Linked DNA regions of Tribolium castaneum. The main gene of each other region encodes a partner of the protein of the gene in region 3 in a complex. Links are inferred from orthologs where the notes say so. Each region holds a gene or a part of one and is shown on either strand. Other genes may lie near its edges. The genes, in order: gamma-tubulin complex component 2, nmdyn-D7 and Grip75.

What was found.
Region 1: Grip75 (region 3) and gamma-tubulin complex component 2 share a complex: the UniProt entries of both Homo sapiens proteins name them as parts of the gamma-tubulin ring complex. The link is inferred for Tribolium castaneum from reciprocal best matches to the Homo sapiens genes TUBGCP4 and TUBGCP2.
Region 2: Grip75 (region 3) and nmdyn-D7 share a complex: the UniProt entries of both Homo sapiens proteins name them as parts of the gamma-tubulin ring complex. The link is inferred for Tribolium castaneum from reciprocal best matches to the Homo sapiens genes TUBGCP4 and NME7.

What each region holds. Positions count from the first base shown.
Region 1 is NC_087402.1:3,140,452-3,142,978, reverse strand, and holds the end of gamma-tubulin complex component 2, read right to left. Parts: coding exon 2,222-2,527; intron 2,178-2,221; coding exon 1,831-2,177; intron 1,784-1,830; coding exon 1,640-1,783; intron 1,522-1,639; coding exon 1,450-1,521; intron 1,174-1,449; coding exon 998-1,173; intron 965-997; exon of another isoform or gene 947-964; coding exon of another isoform or gene 931-946; exon of another isoform or gene 830-930; coding exon 751-829; 3' UTR 640-750; downstream 1-639. Other genes in the region: mucin-3B-like, read right to left, coding at 48-83. UniProt on the Homo sapiens protein: Component of the gamma-tubulin ring complex (gTuRC) which mediates microtubule nucleation.
Region 2 is NC_087396.1:11,132,663-11,136,951, reverse strand, and holds the start of nmdyn-D7 (nucleoside diphosphate kinase homolog 7), read right to left. Parts: upstream 2,896-4,289; 5' UTR 2,881-2,895; coding exon 2,874-2,880; intron 477-2,873; coding exon 1-476. UniProt on the Homo sapiens protein: Possesses an intrinsic kinase activity. Displays 3'-5' exonuclease activity with a preference for single-stranded DNA. Does not seem to have nucleoside diphosphate kinase activity.
Region 3 is NC_087396.1:21,170,624-21,174,969, reverse strand, and holds Grip75 (gamma-tubulin complex component 4), read right to left. Parts: upstream 2,807-4,346; 5' UTR 2,669-2,806; coding exon 2,621-2,668; intron 2,574-2,620; coding exon 2,158-2,573; intron 2,111-2,157; coding exon 1,945-2,110; intron 1,898-1,944; coding exon 1,601-1,897; intron 1,484-1,600; coding exon 1,252-1,483; intron 1,207-1,251; coding exon 1,026-1,206; intron 974-1,025; coding exon 766-973; intron 713-765; coding exon 644-712; intron 593-643; coding exon 320-592; 3' UTR 319-319; coding exon of another isoform or gene 281-318; 3' UTR 246-280; downstream 1-245. Other genes in the region: vesicle transport protein USE1, read left to right, coding at 1-232, 281-318; Su(var)2-10 (E3 SUMO-protein ligase PIAS2), read left to right, coding at 3,253-3,279, 3,431-3,600, 3,652-3,793. UniProt on the Homo sapiens protein: Component of the gamma-tubulin ring complex (gTuRC) which mediates microtubule nucleation.

The DNA.
Region 1 (2,527 bases), on a different chromosome or scaffold from region 3:
TGACTAAATAGAAGTAAATATGTTACTATAAATTTCTTTGCCCTTACCAAATTGAAAAAGAATATAGCCCACAGCACTTTCATTTTTCTTTCACTTCATAGCAGCTACGTTACTTCTGAATTAATGATACGTAGTGGTATTTTTATGTTTATTCGATTTTAATTGTGTTAACTATTCTTTTTTAGCATAAATTTTCTATTGTTGTCCATAAGTCCTTTTAAATGTTATTTAAATACGGTATCTTATCTTTGGTTTGCAAATCTTTTTTTCAATAGAAAATACTGGGTAGTGATTTGAGTTTATTTCATATGGAACTTCTTTGTTCTAATAAGATTAATTTAGAACCGTATATTTGCTAAAATAATATTTCAGTTACATTATGGGTGTTTCTTTTGGTGTTATAACAAATGACGTAAAGTATGCAACTCTGACTTACAAAGAACTGATAAACATGGTGTTTCGAAGTGATAAGTATAGAAAATGAATTATGAGGGGATTAGGACTTCATGATTACGAAGAAACGAAGTCGGGTAAATATTTTTCTTAAAATATTTCCTTTGAAAAGCTAAGCGCAAGGAACAGCCTTACTTTTACAGAAGGCTGTGAAAAAGGATTGTTATTAGGTTAAAAAAACACAAATTGCGGTTTTGATTTTTTATTAATTAACTATGCTAACATAAATATTCTACATAAACCCTAACTTATAGATGTAAATCAAAATTACACCAAAAAATTGTACATCTAAGCTAATCAACCAGACGATTCAATTGTGATGGTCCCAAAATCCTTCTTCATTAAATCGCCAGAATAAAACGAATTGAAGTCCAGCCTGTAGAACGATACATTAAACACTTGCATCCATTTGATTTGTTAAATAAGCTCACCAAAATACGGGAAATAAATCATCGAAAGGAAGAAAGGAAAGGAAAATTAAATTTTTCTTAAACTAATTGGTGAGGCAATGGTGAGTATAATCGAACGAAATAAACATATTTACCTGTATAACAAATTAAAGAGCCTGTCGTGTTCACTGCTATCCTTGTTTAAATTATTAATCTGATCCAGCAAGTTTACCAAAGCGACTGAAAATTGTACGTCGAATAGAGAAATTCTTTCCTTGAAGCTTGGCGCTGTGGAGGCGTGGCTTGCACTGTCTTGGAAGGCTTTCTCATTCTAAATCAACACAAAAATTATTGGCGATGTTATAATCACACTACACAAAAATCTAGACATGCAGCATTCAACATCTTTAAAAAATACTTTCATATTTTTTATACCGTAGATTCAAAAACAAAAAACATGTTTACCAATTTTTTGAATCATTCGGTATAAAAACAAAGGCTACAAAATGTCACTGATCAATTATTATTATAGACACAACAATAATTTGAACAAATTTATAGAAAAGCGCTAATTATGTAATAGCGCCACATGCTGAGAAGCAAATACCTGATGAAATGATTCATACATAGAACTTGGTAATGAACCAAGTTCAGCTTCCACAAAGTATTTCTGCGTCCTCTATAAAAAATCAAGGGCACGAATCAATAATTTTGTAAAAAATCACAGCTTTCGTTTCTAATTACCTCAGAGATTGATCAAATGTAGGAAAGTGATTAAGGGAGAATTATTAACAAACCTGCATAAATTGACAGAAATCCACGCAAATTGCCAAAAGCTTGGTAACCGTGCGAAGAATCGGAGGAATTGTGAGCATGCAGTCCTTCAGACAGCTATCCAAAAAATCGCGATGGCAAAACAATATTTCATCGACGTTGTTGACCTTTCAAAATTAGAATTAGTTTGCCGTTTTTATTTTAAAAATCTTACTTTGGAAATTTTTTGCAGAAATAAGCACCAGTGAGGTTCAATCACCTCCACCATCATATGATATTCCAAATTCTGAACGCAATGTAACATCCTCTGTCGCAGAGCAAAGGCGGCCCTATAGTGCTGCGCATCGTCAAAATGGAACTTTTTCGCAACTTTATTGCACTTCCAAACTTGGCAAATCATTCTCTCCACATACTTGCAATAGAACAAATGCCTAAAAATCATCTGGTAACACGCCAGAGATTTTCTGTTCAGAATCAAAGACAAGGGCCAGTGCACTTCGTAACTGAACGAGAACGAGTCAATAACGAGAAGTTTCTGGCGCTCGTAGGCGGTCCGAAAGTCTGGAACACAAAATTAATCCCAATCCAGAAACACACTCAAGCACCTTGCTCCATATTTGTCTGAATTGTGAGTATTTTCATCATTTGAAATTGCAGATCATAGGGCAAGAGCTCGGTCCTTAAATCGTCCTTGTATGGGTCGCTCACTGCGCTTGACAGCCTCAAAGCCAGATCCATCAGCGATTCGATGCGCCCTTGAATCACATCGCCAACATCTTTACTCAGTTCTTTTTCACACAAAGTGAGAAACGTTACGATAAAATCGCCCTGGTCTAAGAGAAAATAGTGTTTGACGGATCTCAGTCTCCCCAAAAGATCCTTTTCCTTCACAACTAGCTCGAGTAATGTTT
Region 2 (4,289 bases), about 10 Mb from region 3:
CACGAAGGGCAGGAAAGCGGAGCCGCGGAGGTGGTCGTACAGCTCCAAGCATTCGGCCTGCTTCAAGCGGCACATCCGCACGTTGATGATTTCGAAGTGGCGGTCCTGGATTTGGTTGAAAATCTCGCCGATTTTGTCGATGACGCTGACTTTGATCACGCCGAAGGTGTGCTGGCGCGTGTTGCCGATGATTGTTTTGGTGCGGCAATCGGCATAATCGACGATTTTTAACTGGCGGTCGTAGATGCGGACCTTGTTGCCCACGAAGACGTCGTCGCGGCTGATGCACTCGTAGAAGGAGCGCTTGAGGAAGGGGCGCTTGAGGTCGATGTCGTAGAGCTCGACCGTGCTATCGACGGGGTAGTAATTCAGGAGCAGTCGCTTCTGGTAGGCCGAATCGAAGTCGAACCATTCGGCTATGAACGATAATTTATCACCGTAATCGGTGCCGAACGATGATGACATTGTCGGATTTACTGGAATGTGAAAGGCCGTGACAGACACGTCAAATGAAATACTAGTTGCGTTATTTAAAATTTATCGAAGAAGAGCAATTTAAACTTCCCTCTTTCGTGGTAAATTATTTATAGGCGGAAAAATATTTCACTTTCAATAAGCCCTGAAGTTATCTACTATTTTATTCCGGGTTGGAGCTGTTGTAATCTGCTTATGTGTAACCTACTAACATTTTACAAATAACGATTTATGAAACTTTACCTACAGTTTTAAATCGGAGAGTTACAACCCCCTGATAATAAATTTCAGAAATGCGTCATGTAATGCGAGATTTATATGCAAACAAGCTAATTACTATTTAAATACGATTCTTCACTTGAATATCAGGAAACTATCTTTGCATTAATTTGATTTCGATGTCTGCTGAAAATATTCATTTTTCTTTGCTTTTTTTATAAATGAAATTGTGGACTGTCTTTTCAATACTTATAGAATTAAGTGGAATTTTATATTTCGACACAGATCTTCCATTCCACCGTAAATCTATGTGGGAGTTATCGATGTCCGGTATCAAAACAATCAAAGGAATCTCAGCTTCAAAAGAATACTATTTGAAATGGTATTTCATACGAATTGTTGCATTTACATACGAAATGCACAAATCGTTAACTTCAGTAATTATTGTTATAAAACTTGAGTGAATTACGAGATACCTAAAAAATTGACCAAATCTGTGAAAAACTAACAATTACTAGGGAGGGAAGCGAAGTTCAAAACTTTTCTGTACCGAAAAATTTAGTACAGCGGATTCAAAACAAGGGCACGTTAGACCGCCTCGGTTTCAAACTCGGTATTTTAAGTTTAAAAAATAAAAAAAAAACAAAAAAATTAACAAATCTTAACAATATTTTTCAAAATGCTGGGAATGCGGTTAAAGATGCAAGAAAAATGTACAAAAGGTAGTTGTAGAGAATTTTGATACAAAAAATAGTAAGTCATTCTCTGTCTTACGGTTTACGCCCAAAAAACGATCAAAGACGGATTCGCTAAACGGTTGAAAAAAAGAAAATTTATTAAATTGAAATCTCTTTGTCAATTCTAACTTTGCAAATTAGTAAAAGTTTTCTTTTTTCGATTTAGTTTATTTGAGTTTATTCTGTAATTCATTATTAAAAGTATTTTATTAATGTTTAAACTGAATTTGCCGTGAAAAGGTTTAATTTCTGACATGGTCACTTTGTGCAGTCAGCCCACGATAATTCAGAAGAAAAATTTCTTGGTAAAAAAGCGTGTATTATTAATCTTGCTACCTAAAAATAGATAGAGCAATTACATTTAAACTCACAAGAATGCATTTCTACGAGTACAGTCATATCTATTCCTTACTGTTCCGGCTAATTAGATAAAAATAAAACTTTTGACCCACTAAGCAAAATACCAAGAGGTTAACAGCTCGTAATTACAAATTTATACAGCGTTTTGTCCATTTAATTAAGCGGGAATTATATTTTAGTGTGTCATCTGTTGAAACAAATAAAGACTTTTCTGATTTGAATTGTTCATTATAACAATTTCTAGTAGATGTGTATGTCAGAAGATACATTAATCAAAAAATTAGCGATGATATGGGAAATATCTGCAATAACCGTATTATGTTCAGGTATGACTACTGCACTTTATTACTACCAAGAAAATGAGTAAGACAAACTTAGATTAATTACTCCCGTTTCTACTTTATTACTTTAAAAAACTGAATGGAGTAGAAATTGGACGTGTGATTCTCAGTTTATTTATAACATGAATTTTATAAATAAGAAATAAAAAACAAGTCTAAAATCCTTAATCAATTATAATTAAAAATTATCAACACTATAAAAAATTATTGATAATAAAAGTATTTATTAAATTTTGCGTCGCACCAAAATAAGGAATATATTATTTACTACTGGAAGTAAATAATACACGCTCCAATGGAGACAAAATATTGTTTTTATGTTTTTTAAAATTCAACCGATGATTCGACATTTCCACTGCCCCAAAAAAATTGTTCAAATATGAAGTTCATATACTTCTCGAATGGCAAATTACGCACGAGAGGGATCACAATTTTAGCTACCTAGCAATTTGTCGAAAAATTCGTTAGAACAGCGTGGTTGTTTATGCAGATTCTGCTCACACACAACAGTGATTAAGTCGGTGTCAAATGAGGAAAACCCAATAGAATCGAATAGATTAAGCGATGCCTTAGAGGGATCCGAATGTTTATGAAAAGCATTTAGACAAAAGCCTTAACAAGGGTGTTTCAAGAAGAAGTGAAGTTGATGTTAAAAGGGTAGCAGAAGCAGTGCGGCAATTAAAAAGGGTAAATCGACGTTTGGGGCTTAGTGGATTAATTTAAAGGGAAAAAACCCACTTACTTAACATGAATATTTGAAGGAAAAAATAAAAAGTTAGATAATCCAAGATTAAAGATAAAACCTCCATCACGTTGACCAACGCAGCTGGTAATTTGCGGCCAGGAGACGTATTTTTCGTAAACAACCCAAAGTACATTAATCAGATAAAATTCGGAAATTTACAAAGACCGCGTCCACATATGGTCCCGTCACACTCGCCGGTTATTAACATGTTTTCCGTTAATGATTGAAAAGGTTTCGATTAGCTCCGATTTATAAACCAAACAAATCTCCCTCGGCTGGATGATAATTACGCTATCAGTGACAAACAACACGCAAAAATCGCTAATCTTTCCGTTAAATAGTGCGCTCTCAGGGGAAATACCCGATTCATCAGTGGCGCACTAACCTGAAGCCGCCCCCGAAACCTGAGTGGCAGCGTAAAGTGGCTGCGCCCGCCGCGTCCACAGGTGCTATATAACGTAGGCCACCAGCTATACGAAGTCGTCTTCGTGTTGTGCTTTTGCAACCAACTCCAGCCTCCGGAACCTGGATTTACCATCTGTACCGGTAAGTGACTCGATTTGCTCCCCAGCGGCTTCTGAAACCAAACCCATTTACGCTCAGACTGCTGAAAAAGTTATTTAAAAACGAATTTCGATAAAGTGCGTTATTTGGTATCAAACGCATTTCATTCCATTTCCTGAACTTAAAACGTGTATTAAAAATAATGCGGGGCTTTATAGACGCAAAATCTAATTAGGATATTTAATTTAGGGCGGGTTTTTACAATGCTTCACCGTAAATTGAATGGCCGAAGACCTTTCCAATCTTTAAAATAACGTTTACTTTAAATTGTTTCAAATAATTAAAACAATTTTAGTATTTCAAGTTAGTTTCAGAATTTATAAACGGTTCTCATTTCTCTTGCACTTCTTTGCATCAAACTTGCCCTGCTATAAATTAATTGAATTCTTGAAATAAAAATAGTAACATCAAAAGCTTCACCTAAATTATGACCAATATCGTATGTGTAAATATTTTATTATTGTAGCAATAAGGCTGAAGTTAATAAATTATTCCCAATTATTTACCTCCATTTCTATTTTTTCACATAAATATTTAATCGGCAATGCCTGAAATTATTCCCAGAAGATGCACTACATTGATCTCGTGTTAAAACAAATTTTACGCTTTAGGACTCGTTGAAGAATTCCGAATTCATATTTTCAAGCAGAGAAACATTTGTTTGTCTGACTAATGGATCTAGATAGTGTACAAACAATTGTAAATTTCGAAATAATAAAGTTGTTGCTTACATTACGTTAAAATTCAAATTTCACAATAATGTGGTGTCCAGGTACCACTTCCGGTTTAGCCGGAAATAAATGGACACTACCTAGCTTCTGTTGACATCTATATGTGCGGTGAATTTCA
Region 3 (4,346 bases):
CAGAAAATCACCGACGATATGCTCATCTTGACCAAAAACTTGAAAGAACAGTCGGAACTAGCCAATAAAATTATCAAAAAAGACACCGAAGTTGTGTCGCGATCGGCGCAACTAACCGACCAAAACTATTCCAAACTGAGCGCGGAATCGAACAAATTGGCCGAGCACTCGAAACGGGCCTGGAAATGCTGGATGTGGATCATGTTACTTGTGGTTGTGGTTGTTTTTATTAGTAAGTCGCCGAATGAAATAACTTTGCCTCCTAATTAATTTATTCCAGATATGGTGTTATTTATGAAAGTGATGAAGAAAAAATAAATTACGTTCTTTGCGTTAGGTTAAACTCGGGTTTGTTTCGAGTGAAAAAGCGATTAAAGTCGAGCTGGTGCAACAACTGGACCAAGTGTTGGCCATCGGCTCGTTCATGTAACTTGTACAGAATAAACAAAAGCGAATCGACGATGGTATCGGTGCGTTTCTGGAACTGTTCAAACTCGGTTACTTCCGGTTCGGTTAACTGCGGTTGCCATGTCGACGCAATGACGCAGAAATTGTCACACAGCTCCAGCAGCTGGATTATCACGTTGTAAACCTTTAACAAACCATTAATTGTTCAATTAAACACTTAATCAACAATTATTACTTCACTCGGGACGTTAAACTGAACGGCGGGAGTTTGGTGTAACCGGTGTTTGTTTTGATAAGTGTGGCTCTGCAAAATTAATTCAGTCTAACCAAAGTAATTTCAAAACCGACTTGACTTACTTTATCAGGGGTCAGGATGAAAGTTTTCGCGAGTAAATTGCTGATGAACTCGTGATGGACTTTGATGATCTCCTCGAATTCGTTGGCGTTTTCGATCGCTTTCAAAAGTAGCGAAAATTGCGCCTCGATCACGTCCACTTGGAGGTAATATTGTAGATTATTGACTAGGAAAATTAAATGCTGGCGTAAAGTCCACACTCGCCGGTCACTAAATTTGCAAAAATTAACAATAACCGATTGATTATTTAATTAATACACACATGTTTTGTTTCCCGGACATGTGCGCTTGCCACAACTTGTGTAAGTGGATCTGAGTTCTGCTCAGCCTTAACAAGTAGCAGAATAATTGATTGTACAGTTCCATCGATTTTGGGTTGAAGATGATATGAAGGGGCCAACTAATTTCGAAATTGAGTTGTAATTTCGACCACGGGTTCACGCCTGAAATAATCAATTAGTTGGGGACATTAATTGTGTTTCCCCCACTTGTCTTTTCCAGTTTAGCTAATTCGAATCTGAGGTACGTCTTGTCGTTCTCTCCGTAGATTTTCCGCGCAGTTTCCAGGAAAATCACGTTGAGGTTGTACGAAGTGGTTTGATTTTCCGCCGCTTCGATGAATTGGTGGAAAAGTTCGCCTCGCCCCAGCGCATAGTAATCTCGTATAAGTTGCAAGTGTTCCTTTAGGTCGCCCTCGTCCACCATAACGGACCACAAGTACTAGAAATTCTACATTATTACGAGTACAGTGAAAGCTATATTTTTTTTAACGAAATCTTCCTGTTTTTGGCACAAAAATTGAGTTTATTACCAAAAATCGTGGAAAAAAATCCTTACTTTGGTTAACTTGATTCTGCACTCCTCTATAACTCTCTGGAACTCCATCTGGTCGAAAATTTGCGTCTCGAGCGCTTGAATTTTCTTGTAATACTCTATATCTTTGCCGTCCCAAACGTCAGGCTTGTGTAGGTTTTGGTAATTATCTGTGTTGGTTTTCTGGTGGTTTTTGACGATCCATACGATTCGGCCCATGAAAAGTATGCTTTCGGCCGTATCTTCAGTGATAAACATCGGAACCATAGACCAGACTATTGTGAATTTGCGGACAGGTGGTGGGCGCTTGATTCGGTGTTTCTGCAAAAAATTGTTAAAAAAACGGTTAGCGAAAAAATTCAACGTACAACTCGTGTCAGTGTGCTTTCTTCGTTTTGCTCAGGGTAGAGGAAATCCTCGTCCCAGCATTCGCCATCGCTGATGAAAAACTCTTTATAAAGGTCGACCAAGTCGCCGTAAATGATCCAGTTGCACAAGTGGCGGTAAAAAATGCTGTTGAAGCAGTGAGTTATCCTGTAAGAAAACCGCATTTAAGTGGTTTTTCAAGGGTGGGATTTCACTTTTTCGCAGCTTGGGTTATAGGTTCCACGCCACAGTAGATGTATTTGTGGAGCCGCCCCATAAGGAGGCACCCATGGAGCCTGTCCTTCTCCACGACTTGAATAATCGACATAATCACATTGAACAATACTTGGTACTTTTCCAAGCAACTTGAAATGAAAATTAACTGGAGCTCGGGGTTTTGCAAGAACTGATCTTCCAGTCTGACAATTTCGCTCTTGTAATCCCCCAAAACATCAAGCACACCGTTCACAAAAGCCTTGATGTAGAGACCGTGTTGGTCAACACTACAGTTCTGGATTTTTTTGCAAAATGAGACGATCCAGTTGTGGTTTGAGGATATTTCCATGATGTGGTGGAGGAGTTGCTTCTCCCCCGGGTGCAGGAACTCCTGGAGTTCGTCAAGTTTGCCCAACTGGAACAAACAATTGCAAGGGGGCTCCACAAAGCGGTCACAAATACCGAATCGTCCGAATTGTGCAACAAGTTAATCAGTATCTCGTGAATCATTATGGCCTTTTTTACCACCAATAAAATTATTTAACCTCAAAACATCAATTTTTGAATTAGCAAATTGCTGCCAACCTGCCCACCAAATTTTTCATTGTTAGAAATATTTAGTTTTGTGTGGTGGCACCCAAAACATTTTTTTTTCTATAAATTTCCAAAAGTGTCCAATGTGTTTTGATAATGTTGCTTCGAAACGATAACAATTTGAATTAACAACAGTTGGAGTAACTAAATTATTTGCGATTGTTTTCTCTTGTCGTAGATTTGAACTTTTGTGTTGGTGCTTTTCGCTTTCGCGCTGTAGTGTTGGCAGCGCGCAGTCCCTTATGTGAAATCGTTTGTTGGTTTGTTATTTTGGCAAAAATCGTGCATTTCGAAGTGACGCCACGAAAAATAGCCCAAATCTGTGTGCCAGAAGTGCGTGGGGCGTTCTTTTAACCCCCTGAAACCGCCCTATTGGGTAGGCTTTGAATTGACGATCGGACGCTAGCTCACTTGATGTTTGACAAAAAGCCGTGTTATTCATTTGTTTAAATGGTTGAAGTGACGTTAGAGGAGATCTCAAACTGGATCAGCCACAGGAAATGTCAGAAAACATAGATGAGTTGCGGGTAAGCGCCCCCTTTCCACCTAACCATGTTGGTGTTTGTGTAATTGGCCGATAGTTGCACATTGTTTCAGCTTATCGTGCGTTAATTTCTTGCATTGTTCAGTTGCCAGGGCCCCCTTGAGCGCGTTAATTGATCTTTGTTTTTGTTCAAGAATATGCTAATTACGTTTCGGGTGTCCGAACTGCAGATGCTATTGGGTTTTGCTGGACGGAATAAGTCAGGAAGAAAAACCGAGCTTCAACAGAGGGCTTTAGAGCTCCTTAGAGTGCGATCGCATCCGATTCATCAGAAAATCAGAGACTTGTACAAAAGTATTCAACAGTGAGTTGGCAGCGTTCGGTCGCCCCCTTGGTTCTAACCCGCTTTTCACAGGCAAGGGGGTTCCTTGAGCAACGTACCAACGCCGTCATTATCACCAGGAAGCAAAGACCACAATATGCCGCAGCCCCAAGGGACGGTGCCGAGAACCACCGCCACAGTGCACCCCTACAACATCGACAGTCGGCAATTATCCGTACGTGTCTTAACTTAAAGCAGTTTTTTTACGTAAAAAAATATTATTTTCTACATTTTTTTCTGTCATTGAGCAATTTTTCCACTGGTAAGTGATTGCTTTTTGGGGAAATAGGTGGCGCCAAGTGTTTCGACACACTCCTGAAACGGGTTCGATGAACATAGACCAAGGTTAGGGGCTCAGAAATGGACGATCCTTCTGATGTTCAGATGGGAGATGATGAATGGGTCGTTCAGAAGTCCATTTCTGAGGCCTGTAGCCCTTTTTGTTACGACTTTAAGCAGGCAATACTTTTCTGATCCCATCGTTGCTCAGAAGGTCCTTTTTTTCTTAATAAAAAATTTGTAAACATGACTCAAGGCTCTTGGTATTTGAGCCATAAATGCGATATGAATGATAAAATTGTCTAGGAATGGTCATTTGATCCAAGTTTTTATTGTAAATTTCTTGAGAAAATGCAATTATTCTGACTTTCTTATTCGTGGAATGTTTCGTAATTGTGTTTAGGTTATTATTTGTTTTATTAATGGCTTGGAGTCAATGACCGGAAATG